Lonchura striata: one gene and its partner. The protein of the gene in region 1 purifies or fractionates together with the protein of each later gene. This does not show direct contact. Links are inferred from orthologs where the notes say so. Each region holds a gene or a part of one and is shown on either strand. Other genes may lie near its edges.

Evidence for each region. Proteins that work in one complex are often made in the same cells at the same time.
Region 2: the proteins of KRAS (region 1) and HNRNPA0 purify together in Homo sapiens (affinity purification with mass spectrometry; 3 studies listed by BioGRID and IntAct, with this or other methods). This does not show direct contact. The link is inferred for Lonchura striata from reciprocal best matches to the Homo sapiens genes KRAS and HNRNPA0.

Annotation. Positions count from the first base shown.
Region 1 is NC_134607.1:735,769-743,268, forward strand, and holds the start of KRAS (GTPase KRas), read right to left. Parts: upstream 3,090-7,500; 5' UTR 2,926-3,089; intron 2,043-2,925; 5' UTR 2,025-2,042; exon of another isoform or gene 1,934-2,024; 5' UTR 1,922-1,933; coding exon 1,811-1,921; intron 1-1,810. UniProt on the Homo sapiens protein: Ras proteins bind GDP/GTP and possess intrinsic GTPase activity. Plays an important role in the regulation of cell proliferation.
Region 2 is NC_134617.1:7,823,765-7,831,337, reverse strand, and holds the start of HNRNPA0 (heterogeneous nuclear ribonucleoprotein A0), read right to left. Parts: upstream 3,099-7,573; 5' UTR 2,774-3,098; coding exon 1,841-2,773; 3' UTR 1-1,840. UniProt on the Homo sapiens protein: mRNA-binding component of ribonucleosomes. Specifically binds AU-rich element (ARE)-containing mRNAs. Involved in post-transcriptional regulation of cytokines mRNAs.

The DNA of each region.
Region 1 (7,500 bases):
TAAAAGGTGCAGAAAGTCGCTACATGTGACAAGCTGGAGAAACCTATTAGGTTAACTTGGTGTAATTCTTAAAGAACACAGGGATTCCGGACCACAGCACTGAATTTGTGGCTGCCCCATCCCTGAAAATGGCCAAGGCCAGGTTGGACAGGGCCTGGAGCACCCTGGTCTTGTGGAAGGTGTCCCTGCCCATGGGAACAAAATGATCTTTAAGGTCCCCTCCAACTCAAACCAGCCTATAATTCCATTAATAAAGACACAGTCCTAGGATTTTCAGGTTCATTCTCTAAGTAACTGTATTTCCATTTTATTACTTTACATTAAAAATGTATTTAATGCCCTTCAAATCACTCAGTTGGTGGAATAGCAAAATCCCTTAAGTGCTCCAGGAATACTGGCATTTAAGCTTCTGTGTTCCCAAATTGTTTACACAGTGACAATTTATAAAATGGAACCGGCACAGCACTTTCTGCAGTGCTTAAAATACACCTCTAACCTAAGAGAAACCCAGGTAATTATGAAAAAGCATCAAAGACCAACAGCCTCCAAAGGTCCTTTTGCAGGAAAAAGTAAAAACCCATTTGGCTTGTTCTTCTCAGCAAGTTTGGTGTGATTTTAAAGAGTGTTTGGGGTTGTTAAGACTTTCTATCTTAGTGTAGAAAGAGCTGCTCTGCTGGTGTAAGTCAAACAGAGTTTTCTGCACAGGTCTAGTCACAAAACCTCCTGCAAGAAAGATGTTATTTGGCCATGCAAGAGACAGACAAGAAGACACATGGAAAGAACCTCAAGTCAACACATCTCTGCTTGAGCTCAGGCCCTCACTAAATTTGTGCTACCTCAGGGCACTGGCTCCTCCTGCTTATGTCTCCCTGAAAATCACTACCTACACACTTCCCAAGTCTCCATTTTAAGCCCAGATTTAAACCCTTGTGATTCCTTCAAGTGAGCCTGGAAGTGCCTTGCTGGATAAACATATAAATGAAGTCATGAGATGCAGAGCTTCAGTGCTGGGAACATAAAAACCTGGGGTAAGTTATGGTGTCATTTCTCCTTTTATAGAGTCTGAGGTTGTTAAATGCAATGATCCACAGGAGATTTCAGACAACACCAGTATTTTCCTTGTATTTAAAAGGCAAAGCTTGCCTGCTCATTATAAACCTTCAAAACAGCACAACTTCTAAGATTATATACAATTTCAAACTTTGAGGTACTGAGCCATGTATTTCAAAGAACCCATTCCAGAAGCTATCTTATAACATCTTCTCTAGATAGGAAAACACGTACTGGTGTGTTTAAAGAGTGAAAAACCAAAACAGAACAGGCTCCAATTTTTGCTTCATTCACTGCAACATCCTAGGACACATTTCCCCCCGTGTGAAACATATCTCAGTGATAGGAGCTGAGAAAGACTGGCACACACATTTCATAACCACTAATTTTCCTTCTTATCAAAGAAAAAATGTCCCATTAAAGAGGTTGCACAAAGCTATGCAGAGTTTCACCAAGCATTTTCAAGTGAGTTTGCAAATACTTCGTCATAGAGATCCTAAACACACGCATCCACACTGCCCAAGGATACATAGCAATTAACACCATGCCTTTAATTGATCAAAACTGCCAATTTATTACTGCAGCTGTTGTTCCACAGCCAGATCAAAAAGCACAGCAATTCTGTCTCCAATGCAGAACATTATCTCTGAGCTCTTTTTACTATAAAGCCCTGTCCTTGTGGTAAGTACCCAAAAGGATACAAGCACCATTATGCACTGATAATCTCCCCTCACAAAAAGTATGAGACGGAAGTGTTTACCTCTATTGTGGGGTCATATTCATCCACAAAGTGATTCTGGATTAGCTGTATTGTCAAGGCGCTCTTGCCTACACCACCAGCTCCAACCACCACAAGTTTATACTCTGTCATTTTTTAGCAGACCTGATGACAAAGAAACCAACATTAAGCAGAGCTGGGCAACGAGGATGCTGCCGGTGCTTTCTCATTCAGCGTCAGGATCCTCTACTATTACCGGGAAGCAGCTCCCTCCCTGCAAGACAAGACAAAAAGGGATGAGGGAATGCTGTTCCTCCAACATTACACACACAGGGAATGTAGAGCGGGCACTCGGCCGACAGGCAGCGGTCACACCGAGATTTAAAAGAACACGAAATAAGTAAAAAAAAAAAAAACAAAACACAAAAACAAAACAAAACAAAAAAAAAACACAAAAAAAAACCCAAAAACAAAAAAAACCCACCACACTAAATAAATTTAAAAGGCACTGAATTCCAGGAAAAGTCCAAAGAGTATTTCGTGCAGGGAATTAACCCGTGCGGGGATTTAGTTCCCGGCGCCTCGCCGAGCCCGCCCGGGTTTCCCGGAGCGTCCCAGCCGCCCTCGGGATGAAGCTCACAGCCGGGAACGCGCCTCCCGCGTCCGGACAGGAGACACGGCGAGCACGGCTTCCCCCGCCGGCTTCCCCTGCGCTGTTCAGGGTGGGTTCCATCAATTTTTAATTGCCGGGCGAGCCGCGCCTGCGGGACCCCCGCGGCTCCCGGGGCATCGCCCGCCCCGCCCCGGCTCCCTCTGCCCCCGCCAGCGCCGCGCCCGCGCCGCCACAACTTTCCGGGTTTAAGGATTTGCGAGAAGGGCTGAGGGGGAAAAAAAATAAATCCGTGAGGGCTGGGGGATGTCTCGGGCGAGCGGCGGGTCCCGCAGGGCGTTGGCCACCTGTCCCCTCCCGCCGGGAAGGAGCGGGAATGCGGCTCCGGGGGATGCCGGCGGGAGCAGCGGGAGAGAAGAGAGGGAAAGGGACGGGAGGGGAACGGCGACAGCGGAGGAAAGGGGCGCCGACTGCGCTTCCCACCTTGAAGGGAAAGCGAGGAAGGAAGAGGGACGCCCCGGCTCGGCGGGGTGGGGAGAGGCGGTACCTGGCTGGCCGTGCCGCGGGAGCTCCCGGCACCCGCCGTGCCCGAGTCGCGTCCCTTCCTCCCCTCAGCTTTCCCTTCCCGCTCCGGGTCCCTTCCCTTCCCGTCCCGGTGCGAAATGGCGGGGGACGGGCAGGGCTGGGCGGGCGCTGCCCAGGGAGCCGAGCACCGATGCGCGGATGGACGGTCGCGATCGATGCGCTCGGCGCTCCAGCGCCCCTTGCGGCAGCGCCGGCACCGCCCTGCCGCTGCCGAGCGCGGGCCGCGGGTTCGAGGCGGCGTCCGGCCACTGCCGTGCGCAGCGCTGGGATCCTCGGCGGGAGGGAGCCTGCGAGCTCATGGAGCCGAGATCTTATAGGGACTGGGAAGGCTGAGGGAGCTGGGGCTGGTCAGCCTCGACAGGGGCCCTCAGCGCTGGCTGCAGGGAGGGCTCCGAGCAGGGCCCAGGCTCTGCTCTGAGGGCGCAGCAATGGCACCAGAGGAACAGGGAGTGATCCCAGAAGTTCCATCTGCACAGGAGGAAAAACCACTCCCACAGGTTGCCCTGAGAGGCTGGGAATTTCCTTCTCGGGGGGTATTCCCGAGCCGTCTAGACACGATCCAGTGTCCTGTGCTCCGGGATGGCCCTGCTGGAGCAGGGAGGCGGCACCAGGCGCCCCAGTGAGGGCCCGTCCATCGGGGAGAGGCTTGGAGGAGACCTTTGGGAAGGATCCGTCCGGGAAGTGCGTGCTGGAGGGCGGTGAAGGGAAATGTGCACAATTCCAGCATTTCCTCACTGTTTCCCCCTTCCCTCAGTGCCCGTGGGGACCTGGAGGGGAAGAGGCACAAGAGCCACCATAAAGCCCAGGACAGGCTCATCCTGAGGGGATGTCTGGGCTGCCCGGACAGGCATCGCCTGGTTACACGTGAGGAGCAGTTTTATCCATTATCGAACCAAATAAAGGTGGTCAGCTTTCAAAATAAAATGCAAGGTTTGATTTTTAGATCTGAATGAAATTAATAAACGCTCTGTTTGGGGTTTTTTAACAAGTTAACAGATGCACAGAAAACCATAATTTCGTACTAAAAGGCTAAAATCATAACTCCCTGTAACTGAAATAGAGAATCATAGACTGGCCTGAGTTGGAAGGGACCTTAAAGATCATCCAGTCCCACCCCCTGCCATGGGCAGGGACACCTTTCACTATCCCAGGGTGCTCCAAGTCTCATCCAACCTTGCCTTGGACACTGCCAGGGATAGGAAACTCTTTATGATCCCCATTTCACCCCTCCCACAAATTTAGGTGTCAGTAACCTAGTAGTTTTTGTGTTAAAGGTTATTTGGTTGTTTCCCAATAGCCGCAATAATAAAAAAAAATCCAAACCCTCACAAAAATCCATGTGACAGAGTAACATGAGATCATCTCACAAATCAGGGTTATTAATTAGGCTGCCTCACATGAGCAGATGTAAAACCCGAAAGTCAGACTTGCTTTCAAAGAACAAGTAGCCTGGTGGTAAAACCACAAGCTTGGGATGTGGGAAAGCCTGAACCCACACAGCCACAGCTGGGATCAGAAGAGTATCCGGAGAGCAGCTGCTGTTGGCAGAACCTTCTCCGTAAAAACTTCAGGTCCTGATGACAGCTTGTGCTGTCCTATCTCCATAGGATCTCAGTGAAATGTGCAAACAATCCTCTTGCGTGTCACGAGGAGGGAAAATGAATTGTTAGAATTCTGGAAAAAGCAGAATGCAAAGCTGCTTTTCTTGTGCACAGATTTTGTTTATAAATATCTATTACGAAACTGCTTTTTGCTGTATTTGCATTTAATTTGAAAATATCTTCTCATGCTCATGTGTAGAGTGGTTTGAAAACAGATCAAATAAATGAGCTGATCAAGAACATTAAGTGCCAGCCCATTCACTGCATTGATATGAAAGCTGGTGATAGTCAGCACAAGTGACGGAAAACCTCTTAGATTCTGTGGAAGTTTCCATCTTCATTTTAGTGACTGTTTCTCTGGGGTAATTTGCACAGAGGATTCTGAACACGTGCAAAGACAATGCACACCCTCAGATCCCAGAACACTTCAGTGTGCAGCTACATACTCCTGTTAAGTTAAAGTATATTTTCAATTCAAAGGTTTCTTCACAATGGCAATAAAATATTCCAGTCCCTGTCTTCTGGATCCTCTACAGGTATGGAACGTTGAGGACAGCACCAGTCACAGCTCCTTTCTCCAACAAGATGCCTCCCTTATGATATCGAGCACTAGGCCAAGTACAATCCCACAGATTTGCCTGTTCCTAAACATGATGCAATAAATTCAGACATTTTCACTTTGAGACTATAGGAGCATTCCTCACCTGTCAGCAGTGGCGGGCTGGGGGGGCAGGACATGTAAAATTCAGCTCCAGCCTGGGGATGAATAATAAGCTTTCCTTGTTAGCAGAGAGCATCAGACAAGCTGGGACAAGAGTTAATTTTCCTGTGGATTTTCCTGGCATTGAACTCTATGCAAAGCAGATGCAAAGCTAGTGTAGTGTTAGCACAGAAGGGTGAGTGGGTTTTGTGCAGCTTCAGGTTTGCCTGCTGTGAATTAGGAATATTAGTAAAAGGAATTTTTTTTTTAGATAGGCCAAGGGTGGTAGTGATACCTCCATTTGGGATATGCTAGCCTTGAGGTTCTACCTTTGCCTCTTCTCCCCCCCAGGAAAATTAAGACTTTTAAGGAAGTACTGCCAACTTCCTTCTGCTGCTCTCTTGTTGAGATCACCTACAGAAGATTTTTTCATTTTAAGTTCTATTTAGAACAGTACAAATGTGCTTGCAATTTTTTGTCTGCTGACACAGCAGGATACAATTATATTCCCCAAGACTTTTAACTCGCTAACTCTACTCAAGACAGGATCTACAAGACATTTATACAGTCGACTTAAACATATAAATATTTGCATCCATAGATAAATATCTATATGTGCAATTTGGAATATATGGGCTTATATTAAAATAAAGGCTATAGTTCTCATGAGATAGTGACTTTAATGCCCTGTCAAATTTCCTGGAGTGGTCTGGGGGGCTCCAGTAATTTTACATGTATAGATTGAAGTGTAAAGCAGCTGAACTCACCCAGAATATGAATACAGCATGTCTGGGCTCACGCTGAACGTGAATGTGTATTGCTCCATCATTGCAATTCTTTTTCAAATTATTGGATGGACCCCAAGAAATCCACAAACACAAACCCAAAAATCACATTTCAAACCCTCAGCTGTGTAAAGCACAAGCCTAGGTCCTGCTCCATTTGCTTCAGTGGCAACTTGGTTGGCCACTACCTGCTTCAAACACAAGAATAGCACGAGGTCCTGCAAACCTTCTTTCTTTTTTTAAACACGTAGGCACTAAAGAAAACATGGCTAATGCATTTTTCTGCAATAACATTAGATTTGGCTTAAAAATAACATGCTAAGATACATGGTATTTGTGAATGGTTTGACTTTTGGTTTAATTCAGCCATCTCTGACTTTTTGAATATAGTTCTCTACTAAAAATGGTGTGGGGAGAAAGGAACAACTCAACTGTGAACTATTCTTTACAAAACTGGATGCTTTTGCCATCCCACTAATGTCATCTGGCATTAATTAACATAGCATCTCCCTAATTATATTGTCAGCATACAGCCACCAAATTAAAATACAAAGACAATCATTAAAATTTCCCAATTTGACTTCAGCATTTCTTTTAAAGCATGATTTTTCAACTTTTGTGTATGTAGGAAATCATCCAAAGCCCACTGAAGTCAATGGGTTTCATCCCAGTGGGGCCCAGAAATGTTTGGAAAATATCAGTGGGGTGTCCAAATTTGTTTTGCCTCTCTACACCAAGTGATTCAATGCCTCTTTTCTGTTCTTGGCACCAGCAGCTCAGCACCCAAAACCGAGGGTGCAGGGCTGGTGGGTCCCTCAGGGGAGTGAGGACTATCATGTGGGAAGGAAAAGAGGGCATTAGCCACAGTGGAAGTCCCCCATCCCTCTGCTCCCTAAAAGGAACACAAGGAAGAAGGACTTTTATGCTGCCTGAGACAGCGTGGAAAAGCAGGAGGGATGCAGCACAACCTGCCTCCATCCCAGGTTTCTGTGTCATGTCAGGATCAGCTGGCCCCTGATGCTCTCCTCGTGAGTTTTGTAGCTCTTGTCTAACAGAGGGGAGGGCTGTGGAGGAGAACTGGTGCCTTGGTGTGTGCTTTCAGGCAGGGAGGGCTCTGAGGCCTTGAGCAAACCCTTAGGCTCCAGCTGAGTCCATCCTGCCTCAAACCACCTTGTTTTTGGGCGAGAGGAAGCCTCGTGTGGGGCTGATCCAGGCTGAGGGCAAGCCCAAAGCAAAACATTGCCTTGGTTTTGCCTTTGGGTATGGCCTAGAGCTCAGTCCTGCTCTCAGTGAATGGCATTGCTGCCACTTGTTTGTGCCTGGCCTCACACATTAGCACTGTCTGCCCTTCAGTATCACTGGCCTCTGCAAGCATCCCTTGGTGTTATGAAAACCTTTGGGATCGAGCTGATTTCTACCTCACCAAGAGCTTCACCTCTCTGGAGTTTGAA
Region 2 (7,573 bases), on another chromosome or scaffold:
CCTACACATTTAATTTTTCAGTGTAATCAGTGGGAATTATATGCCTAATATCTTGCATATCTGGAGGAAAGCAAAAAGCAGCTTTTATGATGCAGTCCCACAAAACATCAGCATTCCAAGAGCTTAGAAACCTGAAGTCAAAATAACTTTGTACTTTTTAAATGCATGCCCCACATCATATATACTCTCACTCAAGCATATAAGGAATTCAAATCTTTTATTTGATATCCATAAACCCATAAACGTTGCTAATCTATATTTCTATGCAGGAAGGCAGTTTTCCCCTAAAACATTATGCTTTTTAATAAACAACAAACTTTAATTCTATTGCGTGAAAGGGCTACAAATATACATTTTTTAAATCAAGCAGACTACACAGATATCTTTGCTTTACAACTGGCACCTATGTTACTTGTACACTTGCTGGCTCACTTCTCAGAGCTCTTTGCCCAGTTTAGATCACCACTTTCTGAAATATGGTCAACTGCAATTATTATTTGTTAAATTACGTGCTGAGGCAGGTATTGCAAATCCATTCCTTTTTCCACCCCCACCCAATCAGTAGTCAGGGACCCCATCTTTATTCACGTGCAGATGTCACTGTATTCTACACCAGTCATCTAGTGGCATAAAAATAACTTTCCAAAGGTTGGTACAATTGTCAGCAAGCCAGTTTTACTCCTGCTTTAAGGAAGCCCACAGCACGGGGCTGCCATCCTGACAGCAGATGGAGCTGCCAGAGTTCTCAGGGAACTTTCAGGAAGAACAATAGTTCCGAGTGAAATCTGTTAACCCGGGGCTAGGAAAACAAGTATGCCTTTAATAGAAGGGATAAATGTCGACCCTTTCCTGGAAGGAATCACACAGAGACAAACCAAGGACTTGAAAACTAAGCAATAAGAAATTCTGAACATTTTATATGAATGAAGCACATGCTTAACACAAACTATTTCTTCAAAACTACACAATACATACGTTGATGGAAAAGTCCTACAGAAAAAACTGACCAACCATGTCAGCACGTCAAACTGTCTAGTACAAGATGGTGGATGCACACAAACTGCCAAAGTGAGAACGAGTATTTAAAAAACAGAACACATCCACGGATTAGTACTTCAAAAATTTCTCTGTCGAGTGTTTGAAAGCCACTAGCAAAAAAGTCAGTTAGGACCTTTACTGGCAACAAAATATTTACTACTCTAAGTACACTGAGATTTTAAAGCAGAGGAACACTTGCTTCAAACCTAGAAAAGCCTTAAAACCGTGCGGAATTGATCCTAGGAAAAAGAATTAGACGTATAAAGGTCAATGAACACAATGATTTATTTAAAAAATAAAAAACGTAAAAACCATTTTTTCCTCCTTTACAGAAATGTTAAAAGTCAGTCATGGGATCCGAGTAGCTTTTGTAGAAAAAAACGTAGTATCCAGGCATCGAGTCCTTACAACAAAGGAACTTCCCCCCAGCCTCCCCGGTTTTTACTCCAGATCAGCAAGACACTTCCCACCCCGCACCCCCCAAAAAACAAATTAAAACAAGACATTTTTCGTTGCTAGTATAAAAACGACCAAGGTCCAAGTAATAATAAAAAAATAGAGTCCATCAATGACTGTAACACAAAATATGTGTATGTGGGGCCCAGTCCATCTTCAGAGAGAAAGAAGTGGCACAGGCAGCAGAGGCGACCCTCAGGGGGCATTTAGGAGCCGCTCCCACGGAAGGGAGGCATTTAAAAGGAGCTGCCCTTCGGCGAATGAGGGGAGAAACCATTTAGAAGCTGCCCCGTATCGAAGGGAGGGCTCTCCACGCCCCCCCATCAATGGGTATGAGCGCTCCAGCTCAGAAAGAGCCGCCCCCGTAGCCTCCCCCACCATAGCCTCCTCTGTACGGTCCACTGTTACTGCGGCCCCCCCAGCTGCCGCCCCCTCCTCCACCTCCTCCGCCGCTCTTCATGGGGCCGTAGGAGGACTGGTGCTGGCTGTAGCTGCCGAACCCGCCGTACCCGTTGCCGTAGTCTCCGCCTCCCCCTCCGCCGCCGCCTCCGTAGGAACCGCTGCCATAGGAGCCGTACCCGCCGCCTCCTCCCCCGCCGTAGCCGCCGTAGCTGTTGTAGCCGCCGCCTCCTTTGGAAAGCCCGTTGTGATCCCGGTTGCCGGAGCCGCCGCCGCCCCGGCCCCTTCCTCCTCTGCCTCCCCGGGAGGGCCTGGAAGAGCCGCCGCCCCCCCCGCCCGCCTGGATGTCCTCCTTGGGCACGGCCTTCTTGACCTCCACTCGGTGGCCCTGGATCGGGTGGAACTTGACCACGGCCGCCTTATCGGCCGCGTCGTGGTTCTGGAAGTAGACGAAACCGAAGCCGCGCTTTTTCCCGCTCTGTTTGTCGGCGATGATCTCGGCCTTCTCCACGGGGCCGAACTGGCTGAAGTGCTGCACCAGGTCCCCTTCGCCCACGTCCCCTTTGAGGCCGCCCACGAAGAGCTTCTTCACCTTGGCGTGAGCGCCGGGCTTGGCCGAGTCCTCCCGGGACACGGCCCGCTTCAGCTCCACCGCATTCCCGTCCACCGCGTGGGGCGACGCGGCCATGGCGGCGTCCGCCTCCTCCACCGCCGAGTAGGTGACGAAGCCGAAGCACCGGGAGCGCTTGGTCTGCGGGTTGAGCACGACCACGCAGTCGGTGAGGGTGCCGTAGGCCGCGAAGTGCTCCCGCAGCCCGGCCTCCGTGGTCTGCACGTTCAGCCCGCCGATGAACAGCTTGCACAGCTGCGAGTTCTCCATGCTGCCTCCGGTGCCGCGCCTGGGCCTGGCGCCGAAACTCCTCCTCCTGTTCGGGGGCAGCTCCGGAGGTTTTTTCCCCCCCTGCTCCGTCTTGCCGCTTCTTTCCCCTGCGAGCAACGCGACCTCTTCGCGGCTGCGGCGGCCGCCGGCGGTAGCTCGCTCGGCGCGGCCCGGCGCCTCCGCTCCGCCTCACCTGACCGGCAGCACAGTCGGGGCGTCCCCGGTGCCGCCGCTGCCCCGGGAAGGCGGGCGGGGGTGGGCGCGAACACAGGCGCGCACAAAATGGCGGCAGCGGCTTCTCGGGAGCGCGGCCGGCGACTGGTGCCCACACAAAGGGGCCGCCGGGAGCCCCGCCCCCCGGGCCGGCCTCCGCCGCCGCCGCAGCCAATGAGAGCGACGCGCCGGCGGCGCCCGCCACTCACGCCTAAGGGGCGTGGCTTAGGCCGCGATGGACGTGTGCGGCAACCAATGAAAGGGCGCGACCTCCGCAAAAGTCCCGAGGTTCGCCGGGGACGGACGCGGCGGGCAGCCAATAGGAACGCGGGACGCGTTCGGCGCGCGCCGGGCGGAGGGGCGGGGCAGTACGTCAATGCGCCGGGCCCGCGGCCGGCAGCCAATGGGACGCCGCCCGCGTCCCGGCGCGCGCTCCCTCTCCGTTGGCCCCGCCCCTCGGGGGGCGGGGCGCGCGGGAGCGTTTGAACGGCGGGGACCGTTGGGCGCGCGGGGCTCGGGCCGCCCTCAGAGCGCGGCCCCGGCCCCGGGACGGGAGAGCCCCGGCGAGCCACACCCCGCATCCCGGCCTGCCAGCACTCTGCGCTCTAAAGTTCTCCCTCGCGTTCACGTGGAACTCGCCGTGCTTCTGTTTGTGCCGTTGCCTCGCGCTCCCGTGAAGCGGAGCCCGGCCCGCCCCTTGGCCGCGCCCCGTGGGTACGGACGCTGCCGGCGGCACCCGGCGGGCACGGCCCGGCTGCGGCCCTGGGCTCGGCCCTCGCCCGCCCTCCGCTCCCCGCAGCGATGGCGCTTCCCTCCTTCGTGCCGCCTTCGCCTTGGTAACCGCTCCCAGCGCACGGGATGCGAGGAGCGGCCTCCGGGTGTGACAGAGAAGGTTTAGTTGGATATCAGGGAAGAATTCTTCACCGAAAGCAAGCTGCCAGGTGGAGTCGCATCTCTGGAGGGTTTAAAAGACAGCGCGGATGTCGCGCTTGGGGTCACGGTTCAGCGGTGGCTTTGGCAGTGCCGCAGGAAGGGTTCGAGTCGATCATCTTGAAGGGCTTGTCCAACTTACACATTTTTGTGATTCCTTCTCACTATTCCTGCTACTGTTTCCTCCCCTGCTTTCTCTTTCCAACCCTATCACAGCCTACGCACCCTTAGATCTCTCCTTAGCTCTGAAAATGAGGTATTTTCTCAGCGAAATTATTAGAGCTGTTCAAGAGTGTGCAAGCCCTGTGGAATGACAAATAGTGAGACAATTTTCCTTTTTTTTCCCCTCTTACTTTGATAGTGCATTAAACATTGCTGTCATGAAGACTGCAGCATTACTTTCAACTTAAGTGAATTTTTCATTAGAAAGATTCTTTTTTTGGTCTTACAGTCACTAGGGTTTATGTTAAAATTAAGCGGGAGCTAAGAATGACTGTTGTTCTGCATTAGGCACTGTCAGGATGTAGTTCCACAGTTCCCTGAACTGATCCTGCCTTTTCCCATGTGCCAACCTTGATGCTTCTGCAAACACACAGCATCCACATAAGAGAACTGAGACAGTCATAAATGGTTTTATCATGACAAAGGAACTGGTTTTCAGCTGCCTCAGCTTTCTGAAACATTTTTTGCATGATCTGCTGGTGCTGGCAGGAGGGAGGAAGCAGAACTGCAGCATCCCCCTGATGATGATCAATTGGAAATGCTCCCTTGGAGACACAGACACAAGAAGAACACTGACCGTGCTGGAAGGTTGGTTAACCACAGCCCCAGAGGAACTCCAGAGAGGCTGAACATGCTTTTGTCTCACAGGCTATGATCCTCATTAACCTGTAGCATTGATACTTGCAGTACAGTAATCTGATTTTACTCAGATTGGATTTTTTTATGCTATAGCCAAGTCTATAGTAAGAGTAACTTATTAAATAACTATGTTTGACAATCACAAGGAAAGTTGTCATGGCTTTAGATCCATTTATCTCAATGCATGAACTGACACCATCACTTTATATAGTTTAAGAAAAAGAATATCCCATAATGCCACTGAAATATCTCTGGTTTTAAAATAAACAAACATATCCTACTGTATTAAATAAAAATCTTCCCAGAGGCTGTCTGCAAGCTGCACATAAATTACAGGAAATACAAAACTATTTTGCCTACTAGTTATTGTAAGATCTGTATGGCCCTTCACAAGATAAATTAGTATGTGTCATGTGGAAAATAATCCATGGGAGTTTTGTAGACCTATAGTAATTTAGAGCAAAAAGGATGAAAAATTAAGATGAGCTAATTATGACCTCAACAGATAACAAATCAAAGTTTGTTTACACCACACTTTCTCTCCCTGAAAGCCAGACAAGTAAGCCAAGGAACAGATCAAAGAAAAAAGCTGCAGCTTGCATCACGAGGAGATGAGGGTCCTTAAGGTGTGAATAAATCAGTAGGAAAAATCAGCCACTGACTCAATTCAGGTGTAGCCCAAATTCTTCCTCTTCATTTACACTTCTAGCTGGTTGATTAATGAAAGGAAAACACCTTTAAGACACACATACCCATGTCATGCAGGTGGAAATGTCTCCTCTGAAAATGCACAAAGGCCAAACTGCACTTGGCCCGGTGTCCCCACCTTTCCCAGCTGCTGGAGTGAGCTCGTGTTGTTCATTCACACCTCCGCTCAAAGCCTGCTCTGAGTTCAGTCCCTGCCCTGGCAGGGCTGAGAGCCTGCACACGTCCATGTGCCCTGACACAGCCCCGGGCTCTGGGATGCACATCAGCTTCTCCTGCACACATCCATGTGCCCTGACACAGCCCCAGGCTCTGGGATGCACATCAGCTTCTCCTGCACACATCCTTGTGCCCTGGCACATCCCCGGGCTCTGGGATGCACATCAGCTTCTCCTGCACACGTCCATGTGCCCTGACACAGCCCCGGGCTCTGGGATGCACATCAGCTTCTCCTGCACACGTCCATGTGCCCTGACACAGCCCCAGGCTCTGGGATGCACATCAGCTTCTCCTGCAGCCCCCAGAGACCTTCCTTCCTCCCAGGTCATCCTCGGAGGCTCCAACCGGACCTCTCCAGTCACTGTTGGATTCACGCCTGCTGAGGCACCAGTCACCCGAGCTGTGCAGCAAATCACTTGGCACACACATTCCCAGGAAAGGTGCCTTTCTCTGCTCCTGAAATGAGCTTTTCCTTCAAGCTACATGAGCCAACGAGACACAGGTGCTGCCACAGTGTGAGTGCAGAACCAAAGATGAGTCTCCCGTGTGTGAGATGTAAACCAGAAACACTCCAGCTGCCACAGCAGCTTCCCCACAGAATTTTTAAACTGCTTCTTCCTGTAAACTAGTAAATGCATAATACCATCCTATGGATATAAAAATTCTTAGGAAAGTATAATGCAATAGGAATACACACTTTTCACTTTCCAACAAGGCAATTGCAGCATGACATTTTTTTCAGCTCTACTAGCAACCTATAGAATAAAAAAAAAATCAGCAGCCAAAGTTTCTAAAGTTAGGTGCTTTTTCAGCTCCACCTGTATCATTACCAAAAGAAGATGTGTTTCTCAAATCAGACACATTAGCCAAATAATGCCAATTAAATCAAATATCTTAATGGGACATTTTAATTAGTGCGTTAGGAAGAAGGAAAACCAAATCATGTTCATGCATACACCTTTCTGGTTATTCAGAAGAAATCGTTCTAGCCAGAGTCCACAGGAGGGCATTGCTGCTTAAGAGATTGAAAACCAGAAGTCTGAGCAGTCCCTTTCCAACACGACTTCCTGTGTTACCATATATTCTTAGTAAAAGCTGATGCAAAATAAACTATTAAGGAATTTTTTATATCCATTTTGTCATTCAAGAAACATAACTTTGTCATGCTATTTAATGGGTCCAAACTGCCAAGACTGAAAATTAATAATTAAGTTTTGGAAAAGAGCATGAAGGGCAATGGAAAAACATCATGAATTCAGAAGTAGTTATTAAGTTATAAATGTTTTATCTAAACCCTCATATAAACACAAAGTCATATCTTTTTAACTAGTTTCAACATCTTTAGTTACATCTGTGGCTTCCACTCTTGGCAGGCATCGATTATTTTCTTAAGCAATTTATGTACATCACAATTTTTAATGAGTTTAAGTATTTTTTTGTATAGTACAATGCTCTAGACTTAGATTTAGTTTGACCTTTCAGCAGACAGAAAGCATTTTGAAATTTCATGCGGACTGCTGAATTCTGCATTCACATTGAAAATTGTAATAACATCACCTTAGCTACACACACATTTCACCCAGATTTTTCTAACTGTGAATAGATGGGAACAGTTGGGAATACAAGGGATCCAACTATAATTTCCCACATCACTCTGAGATACACACAGAAGCAAAGATTTTTATTTACATCCTTTCAATGAGATATTATTAGACTTTTGGAAGGCTCAGTCCTACCCAAATCAACACCTCAGGCAGAGTGTAATTGTGTGGTTCATAGGGAGCATGTTGTGTAAAAAAACAGCAGCACCACAAGCATTCCCAGCCTGGCACCTTGCTTTAGTTACAGGTGCAAAAACTTCTGAAAAGGGTA